3 linked regions of the Saccharomyces cerevisiae S288C genome follow. Changing the gene in region 3 together with the main gene of any one other region gives a genetic interaction. Each region holds a gene or a part of one and is shown on either strand. Other genes may lie near its edges.

Region 1 (4,353 bases), on a different chromosome or scaffold from region 3:
ATCGACTGTGTATATTTCATATTTTCGCGATTCTTCACGGTGAGCCAACCATGGAAACTTTACCACTTTCATGTTATCAGAGACCTTTGGTTACTGGCAATTTTATTATGCTTCGTTGGTAAGCCTTAATTATTTTATGAATGTTCGCCAATATTATATGTTTCTGCCACCTAAACCAGTAACTTCGTTTTATTTTTGTTGCGATGCGAGATGATTGATTTTGAATATTCTTACGATTACAGTAGCAGTCAACCTGAAAAAGGCAAAAGAAAAATAACGACTTACAGAGGATAACAGTACAAGGGTTCATTTTCATCTGTAAAACATTTTAAAAATGTGCTTTCAGTTTGTGGGGCAAGCTAAAGATAACTGTTCTCAGAAAGAGTGTTCATATTATACTATTTATTTCCTTTCCATTACAAATTGATGTACGTAATTTTTTTTTGCTTACAAATCATTAAGAAGGATACAAAAGCTTGCACCTTATTACTACGATGTCTTTACTGCATTATTTCTCCCTTCAAAGATAACAAATCACCGCAAGTTCTTATAACAAGTTCCTTTTTGAAAATTGTTTTGGAATGTTTTCGAGCAGGATCGAGTAAGTGCGTCAACTCGATTAAGATATTTTCTTCCCGGTTCAAAGCGCCGCTGACTACGGCTTTTTTGGCCATTTTTAGCAGGCTGCTACTTAGGTGATATAACCATAATAGGTTTGTTCTTGGTTCAAATGTAGCCCAGGATATTGGCTGAGGCAGCATGCTTCTCATCAGTTCATATATCTCGAATTGAAGAGTCCCCCGGCCTTGGAAGAAATAATGATGGTCTAATCTTGTATAGGAAGCCTTATTGTTGTCTATATTCAAGAAACGACAGCACTTCATATCAATTAAAGTAACATTCCCTTTAGAGTCTATCAAAATATGGTCCAAAGTTAGATTCCTGTGTTCGAGCTGAAATTTGGATTCAGCAACATATAAAATACTGCTGCACTGCCAGAAAATAGACAATGCTTGAGAGTAATCAATGTTAGAGCACCTTGATAGAGGAGTTCCCTGGTATTTGAAAAATAAGTACAGTATCAAGTTTTGGTCATTTTCACATTGATTTGAGGGCACAACATAAGCTTGCAGTAAATTGGCGACACCGCTAGTTCCTTGTATTAACCGTAATGATTTCAATTCATGTAAGGATATCAAGTTTGAAGTAGTCAAATCACTTAGAGCCCCTAGACATACTTTCTTGCAAATGAGTGAAGTTTGCATATCGCTATGATAAGTTTGCCAAAAGTTATGAGACAGCTGAACCGATCTAGTATTCAACGTAAACAAGCCTAATGACTGAGCTTCACGTAGATCATGTAATATATACTTAACATCACAAAGTTGTAATATTTGTTGCAAAATTGAATCATTGTAGTCCAAAGTGTTTATGGGAGTGACTTCTGAAGATAAGGATGCCAATGATGTTGAATTTTTCAATTTCAGTTGAATCTTGTCCTTTGAGACTTGGTCTGGAACAGGCAATGATATTTGGCAAGTTTTTTTGATCGGATGATTCAGTTCTTGTGTATTTCCTTTACGCCTTACTTTGAGCTTATTTAGTGAAGAATGTGATGTTTTATGCTTCAAACTTCTAAAGGAAAGGTTCGATGATGAATGTTTGTGGTTTAGCTCCTTCGTGCTCTGATGATCGGGCATAATAAATCCAGAATTCCTCTTCTTCTCTGTGTGTTTGCCACCACCAAAAATAGAATTGTGAAAACTTGAAATTGAAGACTTCTTTTGTAACGAATTGGTTGGTTTTGGCTGAACAAAGTTCGGATCTTGGTCATTCACAGATCTGGAAGATAGCGACCTCGACAATAGGTTATCATTTTTCCAGAACTTCCACTTTGAAGAAGAGGTGGTAGAAGTAAAGGAATTAACTGAGTTCACACTGGATGAATGAACATGAGAACTTGTCTTCTCGTCACCCCAGCATTTGAAATCACTACCGCTCCGAAACTTAAGTGATCTAAAATCTTTAACAGGCTCATCCCTTGATAAAGTCGATTGGTTTGAAATAGGTCTCAAGGGTGTACGAAACTTGGAGTTAGTCACCTTTGTAAGACCTTGCTTCGACAACCTTTTAGATGGAGAGAGCAGCTTGTTTTCCGATAGCACCGACTGAGATACATTTTCTTTGTTTGAAGAGTGAGCGGTATCATTAATATTAATTTTATTGAAGAGTTGTTTGAGCGATGAACCTGTAGAAGATCTTTTACCATAGTAATCATCGTTTTCGATGGTTTTACCTACAGGCCTTGTTTTGGATGTTGGAGAATCTGAAGAAGTAAAAAAGGATTGACTCTCATCTTCTGCTGAACCCTTGTGCGAAGTGATTTTGTAAACTTTTCTTCCTACATCCACTGCGGGGCTTCCCATGGATGAAGAATTTAATGAGCTGTCGGCATCATCGCTTTCTGCTACTTCGAGAGCAAAATACCTTCTGTCAGTCATCTGTTGATCTGCTACCGCATCAAAATTCATTTTCTCAATACAAATAGCGCATGTATGTGTGTTTGGTGAAATGATTTTACTACAACTAAATATATTAATACCAATACGCTTTAAGTTATTGTTTACTATTTTCGCTTTTCGAGAAGAGAAGATGTTACAAAAAGTTTCGCGAATTGCTATCAAAACTGAAAAAAAAAAAAAACGTTAGGCGTATCACAAACGAGAATTTAAGGTGTAGCAAGATAGAAAAAGGCACCTCTTTCAAAGCAAGCAAATGAGCGATAGAGATCAGATAGAACCTGTCACAAATGCATTAGATGCAGAAAGTGATTCTAGTGATGATTTTGGGAATTTTTCAGATGCCTCAGTTGAAAATGACCTCTATAACCAGAATTCTACTTTAACGACGTCTTCCGAATCTGTAGTAGATAACTGCTTGAATAAGATACTACCAAAGGGAGAATTTGACCTGGAAGAAGAAACCATAAAGAATGACTGTTTCAAGCTGAGCAAACTTATTGAAGATGAACGACCCCATGTCATTTATGAACAACTCGTACAATTAGATCCTGTGTTACAGCCATTCATATGGAATAAATCTCATATACGCAGAAACTTGCTCCACATTTTGAGATTATCGGATAATAATGGCTCTGAGGGTGTTGGTACGAAGAGGGAGGAAGAACCGTTGAATGATGAGTTGTTCAAAAGGATATGCGATGCAGTGGAGAAAAATGAGCAAACGGCTACTGGTCTCTTCCTGAGGGATAATTTCAAAATTGACTATACACCACCAATGACTTTAAAATCTCTTCAAAAGGAAGAGGAGCGTGAGCAAGAGCAGCATATACCGCAATTGCTTATGGCAGATTTTACTAGTATGGATGAAGAATCTTTACGCCAATACCACGATACATTGTGTCAATCCATTGACTTTTTGGTTAGTAAATCAAGATCATTGAAGAAACAACAGCGAGACCTCCTAAAGGATAAGACAACTTTTGAAAATGTAGTGACGAATTTGACAGGACATACCCAAAGACTACAGCGAGACGAAATTGCATTGTATAACAAAAAGCGAAACAAAAAGAAAAGGTTCAGTTGGGTAGGATACTAATCGCCGTCTCGGCAAAGCAGGTTGAACGTTGAAGTTTGAAGAGAATAAAATGTTATTAGTAGCATAGGGGACCAGACCAAAAGTCGTAAAAGAGCAATATACTTTTTTATAAAACATACAATTATACAATTAGTCCCCCCCTCAAGAAATAAAAAGCCCCTGTGCGAGGGATATACATAAACATTGAGCATTAATATTTACAACTCCCAATGAGCAATAATGGGTTTATTACATAAATAGAACGGCGAAAGATTTAGTTTCTAGTATCTTCACCGTCAGTAAATGGCATCTACGCATCTCCTTCTTTCCCTTCTTCTTCTTCTTCCTCTTCTTCTTCTTCCTCTTCTTCTTCCTCTTCCTCTTCCCTGGCAGTATTTTCACCAATTCTCTTGTTTAAGACGGCCTGTGCGATTTTACTTGCTAATCCATTTTTTTCCTCCAAGATTTCGTTTTCTACCTCAAATTCGGAGGAAGAAGAAGGTGCAACGGATGTCGAAGCTAAGGAAGACTCTGACTTACGATGAAAAGTAGAAGAGAATAATGGAATGTTAGAGAGGGAATTGTCACTATTGACCAATGAGACGCCATCGGAATCTTGGTTATGGTGTTCATAGGCATCGTGGTTGTCACGTTGGCTGATGATAGGTGATGACGAATCTTTTTCTTGTCTTTTTATTTTCTGTTTTCTTAGCATTTTCCTGCGATTCAATTCTGAGGTTTTTCGATCTTCTTCCT
Region 2 (3,850 bases), on a different chromosome or scaffold from region 3:
GAGCTTTTGGTGATGGCGTTGACGATTAAAGGTTCTTTGTCTTTTATTATTAGCTTTGATTTCCAGTATTTTCAACCTTGGCAGAGAATAATACTTGGATTCGTATTCTTTGACAAATTTTTTGGATAGTTGGAAAGTCCTCAAATCTTCGTTTGTGATGGATTGCTGGCCCTTGATTATTTTCTTGAAAAAATCTCTAGATCCATCGTTGAATACAGAGTACCATAAAGGAATTTTAAAATTCGGTTCCACATCACTCAGAATCACTCTGGTCAGGTTCGGTAGATAGTCTATAATATCAAGCATTAGCTCAATATAAGTATAATGGAAGTAGTTGCTTTCCAATTTATCAAGCAGTTTGATTCGTTCTGAAGTTATGATGGGAGTCTCATCGTTTAGTCTGATGTTATTCAGTTTTTTTACGTCTTTATCATACGAATCGAGTTTATAAGATCCAGCAATAATAGAATCTTGGCCACTCTTATTATAGAACTTACTGTATTTTAACAACGAGTCTTGGGACTGAGGATTTTTGAATTCGATGGATCTTACGAGGAACCTTGCATTTTGTGATCTAGATTGTGTGCTACAATCACCGCTGTGTGTGACAATGTTCGACGTGTGGAACTCGGAGTGTATCAAAGCATTGAACTTTAACAACGAAAGTTTTGAGTCCAAAATAACGTTTTGGAAAAGGAACTCATTCGTAATCAAATTGTAGAACCTCGAATTGACTTGGCATAGTGTTACTAATGTATTGAAGTCCAAAGTTCGCAGTATTAACAGTAGAACTTTTGTTGGCAAACACATGAGGGACGATTTATCGTTGAAGCGTAGTGATCTCGATTTGATATCATGGCTCGTACTATGTAGAAGGCTTTTGGCATCAGCACAGCCCTCTTCCTCTTCTTCTTCCTCCTTCGCAGCACTGGAGACCAGCGAGAAATATTTTGATCTACCAAACAATTGCAACCGTTTCATGATTCGGTTGGTTTGAACGTTTGAAAATGCGGTTCAACTTTTCATATCTAGCAGTGGCTCATCTTTATGTACTCTAGTCCTAAATCTTCTGCTGGTTATCGCAAAAAAATATGTGATGTGCGGGTTTTTGGCAGTAATCATGACTCAGTCTCTGGAAAAACGTGCTATTTAACGGTTATATATCTATCTATGTACATGCCTGTGCATGAGCTCTTCATTCATTTCTGGGAAGGGTGAGGGAGCTGGGATGCATTTTCTGAGTTGTTCTTGGCATATTTTCCCAGGACGTCCTTTAGCGAATCTGGGATGTCTTCAAACTCCAAGTCGCCCACGTCTTGGCTAACTTGTTCTCCGTTAGCTTTCATTAACTGTTCCACGGTAACATGATGATCATGGAATATTTTCAGATGGTCTGCTATCAAATGTCTCACTTTGCAGTGCGGACAAGAGATCAAGACAGTACCTTTCTCGTACGCCTGCTTGGACATTGTGTGTGAAGATCGGGTGTTACATTTCTTGCAGGTGAAAGCTATCATCATCTTAGGCTTGTCTACCTTAAAAGACCCCAAATGAACCTTCTTATCGTCCTTTTTCACTTCATTATGTGCGATGATATTGGTATGCAACGCTGCTGCGGGTAGAGTACGGCACACGTTGTAGCGTACGCGAGGCGCCCAACATCTGGCAAAGTACCTGGTAATTGGTATTTTACTTTGCAGTAGTGTTCTAGTCCTCGGAATCATGTTCAGTCTCTTGATATTCCAGTTGCACCGGTGCTGCTTTAGTATCGCTGATCCCTTGAAGCCAACATGACGCTCTTTCACCTTTCCTCTCATAATTTTGATATCACGCGAAAATGCAAGAAAAAAAAATTACAATTATGAAGTGCAGAAGGAACCAAAAATATCATCGAAAGAAGGAGTACGTAGAGCGTTACTATTTTCAATCAGTGTTCCCATTGTGCATACAAGAAATGTCTCAACCCCAGATGTCCCCTGAAAAAGAGCAAGAATTGGCCTCCAAGATTTTGCATAGAGCTGAGTTGGCTCAGATGACGCGTCAATTAAAGCTTGGTTTAAGTAATGTCCCATCAACAAAACGAAAACAGGACTCTACAACAAAGAAAAGAAGCGGAGAGGATGCCGAAGATGTTGATGAGGACCACAAAACTCTTTTGGAAGCCATATCGCCTGCGAAAAAGCCTCTCCACGATGATACAAATAAAATGACTGTTATATCGCCCGTAAAATTTGTAGAGAAGCCAAATACTCCCCCAAGTTCACGCCAACGAAAAGCCGAAGACCGCTCACAGCAGATCAAGCCTAGGAAGGAGGACACTCCATCTACTCCGAGGGCTTCTGCTACACCTATAATCTTACCACACGCTTCGTCACACTACCAGCGCCCCCATGATAAGAATTTCATGACGCCAAAACGTAATAATAACAACAGCAGTAACCATAGCAATAACAATAATAATATCAAGAAGAAGGCAGCAGGCTCTAAGGATGCTCCACAGGACAGCGACAACACTGCGGGCGCTGATCTCTTAATGTATTTAGCCACAAGTCCATATAATAAGTCATCACATCATGGAACACCGATGGCCGTAAGGATGCCCACTACTCCACGCTCTTATCATTACGCGTCGCAATTGAGTTTGAACGGTAATACAGCAAGCACATCAAACGATGCAGTAAGATTCTCTCATATCAAACCTTCAGCGTCTTCTCCGCAGTCCACTTTCAAATCTAATCTGTTACCGAATTTTCCGGACGAATCTCTCATGGATTCTCCATCACTATACTTGAGCAATAATAACGGTAGTGTCCAGGCGACACTATCGCCACAGCAGAGAAGAAAGCCCACCACAAACACATTGCATCCACCTAGTAACGTACCTACCACGCCTTCAAGAGAATTGAACGGTACCAATTTTAACTTACTCAGGACGCCCAACTTCAACATGGGAGACTATCTGCATAATCTTTTCAGCCCTTCACCAAGGGTCCCCGCCCAGCAGGGAGCGTCAAACACGTCAGCTTCAATTCCTTCTGTTCCAGCGATGGTGCCCGGATCATCTTCCAACACTTCTGCGATAGCAACAGCTGCTATATCAAGCCACACCACAAACAATTTTCTAGATATGAACGCAAACGGGATCCCGCTCATTGTAGGACCCGGCACCGACCGTATAGGCGAAGGGGAGTCCATTGATGACAAACTCACTGATTGATCGTTGACGGCCATATCAGTTGATGATTCCATACTTCCTGAAATGGACCACTCAAAGGGACAAAAATGACAAATGTTGAAATTATAAAATTACATATTAATACGTAAAATGACATTCTTTTTTAGGGAAATTCGGAGATAGATTATCACTATGTAAGCTTATGTATCGTAATATACAGGGCCGATATTTCACCTAGTTTACTTTTTCTGGTGGCCTTTATGTTTATGACTGTGCCCCCTCTTGTGTTTGCTTTTAGAGGCTTTCTCTACAGGTATCAGTATGGTGTCCTCATCCTTCTCCCCTGCCTCTGCTTCGACTGGAGCTAACCCATTTTCGTTCTTAAAAGTTTTCTTCCTCCACTCTCTTAATCTTCTTGCCTTCATCACTTTCCTTTTATCCTTCGCTCTTAGTTCCTTGGAACGATAAGGTGCAAATTTCTTCAAACCAATAAATTCATTTAAATCAGTATCATCGGCGGCGAAAATCTCTCTTGCGGTCAAACCGAAACTCTCAGGAGAAACTTCACGGTAACGAAACTTCAAATCTTGCTCCTCTTTTGTACGGCTTCTACTCTTTCTTTCTTCTTCTTCTTTTTCAACCTCCTCTATTAGTGCTAGTTTGTTTTGTTCCAAA
Region 3 (4,560 bases):
GAATAAATTTGTTGTAGCCGCTTTCCTCAGGAAGGACCCCATGTATTTCATCAAATCATATAAGTTGAATATCCCATCAATTGCGTACCTAGTACTTAAATAAAATACTCACGTCGCTTTCTTTGAATATTTGGAAATGAATTGAGACCTAGTGTGCTGTGTGCCCTTGTTCATTGACGATTAAAGCTTTAAGGACCATTACTATGGGTAAGAATATCATCCGGGCAACGGTATTTCTTAATCTTTTCGAAGATTCTTTTGCCACCGGAAGGGAAAGAAAAGACATCATATATAGGTGGTAGCAAAACCTTCAAGTTAGTGCTCAGCAGTTCATCAGGATCAGTTGCATAAACACAATTACACAAAATGAGTGGTTACGATAGAGCTTTGTCCATTTTCTCCCCAGATGGACACATTTTCCAAGTGGAGTACGCCCTGGAGGCGGTAAAGAGGGGTACCTGTGCTGTAGGTGTCAAGGGTAAGAATTGTGTAGTATTGGGCTGCGAAAGAAGGTCTACTTTGAAGCTGCAAGACACTAGAATTACGCCTTCCAAAGTTTCCAAAATTGACTCGCATGTGGTGTTGTCATTTTCTGGTTTAAATGCAGATTCCAGAATTCTTATCGAGAAGGCTAGAGTGGAGGCCCAAAGTCACAGACTAACGTTGGAGGATCCCGTGACGGTGGAGTATCTCACACGTTATGTCGCTGGTGTGCAACAAAGGTACACGCAGTCAGGAGGTGTTAGACCATTTGGTGTGTCGACGCTGATTGCCGGCTTCGACCCGAGAGATGATGAACCCAAGCTTTACCAGACCGAGCCAAGTGGTATATACTCTTCGTGGTCCGCTCAGACCATTGGGAGAAACTCCAAGACGGTACGTGAGTTTTTGGAGAAGAATTACGATCGCAAAGAACCACCAGCCACAGTGGAAGAATGTGTCAAACTTACTGTAAGATCTCTGTTGGAGGTAGTTCAAACAGGTGCAAAAAATATTGAAATCACTGTTGTTAAGCCGGACTCAGATATTGTTGCGTTGAGCAGTGAGGAAATTAACCAGTACGTCACCCAAATCGAACAAGAAAAGCAAGAGCAGCAAGAGCAGGACAAAAAGAAAAAATCTAACCATTAAAAACGGCGATATATATTGGGCATAAAACCTATATAAAATAACAGCAATAATAAAAATGCAAAATATAACATAGCACGGTATAGTTAGCTCATATATGTTTTAACGAGCCTTACATTATATCATTTAATACGATCTCATGTTTTTCGGATTTCGGATCTCGCCAAGAAAACTTGCTGATATAGAATGGAATGGAATGACTTCAAAAACTGCCCACTCATAAAGTTTGCTTCTTTAAATTGAATATATATTCACAGTCCGATTTGAAAAGCTTACCATCTGCCACACGCATTCTACTCCCTAATTTCCACACACAGTGTTTTTGTTTCTATAAAGAAAAAGAAAACCAAAATACTGTACTTTTTCCCATAATTTTCTTTCCATACGCCTATATGCCCATACTTTGCCCGGTTTATCGAACAACGCTGTGAATTTTGCGAGTCATAAAAGACTTATCGTACCATTATACCCCATTCATTATCAAAACATTATCTTATTTATATATCCAATTTAAAATCCTGTTTTTTAAGAAATAATTTCCAATACATTATTATAACTTATTGATACCTATTTAGAATCGATATTTGGTCTTTTCTTTGAGAAGAAAAAAGAAAAGAAATAAAAAAAAAGTTCACAAAAGTTTGTCATGGAACACCAAGATAGTTCGCCACCTAGATTCAGGAACTCTGGCTCTAATAGAGTCACTGTGTATAACGGTACTACCCTGCCTACGATGCCCAAGAGCGCCACACCAACATCGAGCTCAACAACAGTTACTACGCATTTGCAAAATATTAAGGAGGAGGAAACAAACGATGACGAACTCACCCAAGTGGATCGTTCATCTCCTCGTGTTTTGGGGAGGATCTCCTCTACGTCCTCATCTTCATCCAATATTGATTTGCGCGATAACTTGGACATGTTACACGAAATAGAAAAATCAAATACTAATATTTCTTTATCAGCTCCTAATTTGCATGAGGAACTGGGCGTTCTCAGCGATAAAGGTAACAGTAAAGAAGAATTGGCTTTGTTACCACCTTTACCTCACACAGGAGAAATGGAAATCACTCCACAATTTGATATCAACGAGGCTATTTTTGAACGAGATGACATCAGCCACTCTTCAAGGCTAGAACCAGATGACGTGTTAACAAAGTTAGCGAACTCTACTCGAGATGCTACGGGTGAAGATCAGGGGTTTGTTGTCATGACTCATGGCCACGATGCGTCGACAAACGACGATTCGCAATTAAGCGCTACTATTCTTGACAATCAGACGTCATTTGATCTTTCTAAAGCTCTAGAGATGACTAGCCATTCAAATATTTCTAATATTATTAATAGTTCCGGTTCTGAGGGAAGACGTTCAAGGACACCGGTAAGCAATTCCACTCTGAAACCAAATTTATCATCTCCTGAAAGCGCAGAACGTGAAGCAAACACGACTTCGTCCTCCTCTACGTCGGATCACGGGGCAACAATGCAATATGATCCCAAGAAAATAATAACTCCAATTCCTGTTTTACCTTCCTCTGTCCGTGAACAGCAACAGAACAATGCACCTTTGAGAGAAAGAAGCAGATCTAATTCTAGTGCACTGGCATCTACACTGAGAGATACGATCATTTCAGGACTGCCTCAAAATATTAATTCTGTAGAAAGAAAGTTATCAAGGAAGAGTAACAGGAGTAGGAAGAATACGGTGACTTTTGAAGATCGTCTTCAGAAATTGCCACCCTTAAGCACCCAAATTTCGAACCAGTACGCCAAGGTAGCACCAGCTGAGAACAATATCGCCTTACACTTTCATAACTTACCTACACCAGTATCAAACACTCAAACGCCTGTTACGTTTCAGTCTGAATCCGGACTGACAGGGGGAGAAAAGAAAATGCCTTTTTTGAGAAGAGCATCTAGTGCCCTATTAAGAAAGACATCTGCCAAAAATTGCTCCAATTTAACCAGAACAAATACACCTACTTTATCGACATCCTCAACATTTGAGTCAGATCTAAATGCTCGGCAGCCCATGCTAATTCGACGATCTTCCACTATTGATAATAAACTACCTAGGAGGCAGCTTTCGTGCTCGAAGCTTTATTCGCGCCTCAATTCGGACAGCAAGTTTGCGAATAGCAGTCGAGCTTCGGAGGAGGTCTTAGTGTCCACTCCAAATGACACAGAACACGTCTACAGAAAGACATCTCTAGGTTCTAAGATAAAGAGAGGTTTTACTAGAATATTGAGCGACAGTAATAATAGTAAGGAAATTCTCACTTTATCACCCAAATCTATGGTGACTACGGGGCCTACAGAATTGTCGTTTTCCTCTTTATCAACCGTGGGAGGACATCCGACAACGCCAGTCTCAAAAGAAAATGATCGAGTTTCAATAGATGGCGTGAGTACATTTAATCGAGCATCAACATCTCTTCCAGAATCATCAACAGACGACATCTCTCCACTACGCGAAGAAGGTAAGATTAATGTTCCTAAAAGAACGTCAAGTAGAAAGATACTGTCTAAAAATTCAAGCAAAAAAAATGTACTGCCTGAACAGCAAACAAAGCCAAGTGAAATATATCTGGATAAAGAAGCCTTACAAAGTTTTGTTCCCGTACTCTCTGTCACAGAGGGTACTCATCGCATCAATCGCTCGTCGTTACAAACGCAATCTACCATCGGATTATGCATTACCAATTTAAGAAACAAAGAAGGCATGAAGCTCAATGCCAAGGAATACGTGGAAATCCTGGCTCAGCAGCAACGCAAGGAAGATGAAAGGTATGCTGTTTTGGAAAGAAAATTTGCATCTTGTAGATGGTGCAGTGATAAGGACCTGCAGTATTTGAAAAAGAAACGAATTTCCATGAATAAGATATGGTCTGATTATGTCCGATTTTACCGTGGAAAGTTGAACAACCCATGAAGGAAAAAGGTCTTGGCTATATATAACGGCAGACAAAATATAAGTATACACGTATATATGGTGGTAAACACGCATATACTGTATGCCATGTATTTACCATTACATAGTTATTTACGCACTCTATAAAAAGTTAACATTGCATTTTAATAAATTCCTTAAATTACTCTAATTAGGATGGTAGCCCTACCTTTTTTTTTTTTGGCACACATGGTCAACTTTTCTTCTCATGCTTTAAAAGGCGAGAAAAAATGAAAATTAGCAAAATGACCTTTCCCTCCTTCCCACATTGAATATATACACTGGAAGATATAAGCAACCAGTACTGTAGATAAAAAAGATCACTACGATATTCGTCGGACTCCAGTCGGAGTGCAGTGCCCGATTACTCTTAATTGCACGCATCGTGCCAAGTTTAATTGGTATTGCTCGAACATCTAGGAATAAGAGAAGGACTTACTTTAGAATGATGAAAGAGGTAGCAATTTGCAGCAGATTTTTCG

Evidence for each region.
Region 1: mutations in YOL036W (region 3) and ALK2 together harm fitness more than expected from each alone (negative genetic interaction), as found in Saccharomyces cerevisiae (2 studies listed by BioGRID).
Region 2: mutations in YOL036W (region 3) and STB1 together harm fitness more than expected from each alone (negative genetic interaction), as found in Saccharomyces cerevisiae (2 studies listed by BioGRID).

The regions. Positions count from the first base shown.
Region 1 is NC_001134.8:205,372-209,724, reverse strand, and holds ALK2 (protein kinase ALK2), read right to left. Parts: upstream 2,532-4,353; coding exon 501-2,531; downstream 1-500. Other genes in the region: HIR1 (Hir1p), read right to left, coding at 1-72; YBL008W-A (uncharacterized protein), read right to left, coding at 77-316; LAA2 (Laa2p), read left to right, coding at 2,776-3,618; bifunctional glycerol-3-phosphate/glycerone-phosphate O-acyltransferase SCT1, read right to left, coding at 3,908-4,353. UniProt on the Saccharomyces cerevisiae protein: Serine/threonine haspin-like protein kinase involved in cell cycle regulation.
Region 2 is NC_001146.8:50,708-54,557, forward strand, and holds STB1 (Stb1p), read left to right. Parts: upstream 1-1,954; coding exon 1,955-3,217; downstream 3,218-3,850. Other genes in the region: putative SCF ubiquitin ligase complex subunit SKP2, read right to left, coding at 1-981; ZIM17 (Zim17p), read right to left, coding at 1,200-1,724; KRI1 (Kri1p), read right to left, coding at 3,415-3,850. UniProt on the Saccharomyces cerevisiae protein: Involved in the regulation and timing of MBF-dependent transcription in late G1 of the cell cycle.
Region 3 is NC_001147.6:254,971-259,530, forward strand, and holds YOL036W (uncharacterized protein), read left to right. Parts: upstream 1-1,774; coding exon 1,775-4,060; downstream 4,061-4,560. Other genes in the region: YOL038C-A (uncharacterized protein), read right to left, coding at 1-51; PRE6 (proteasome core particle subunit alpha 4), read left to right, coding at 367-1,131.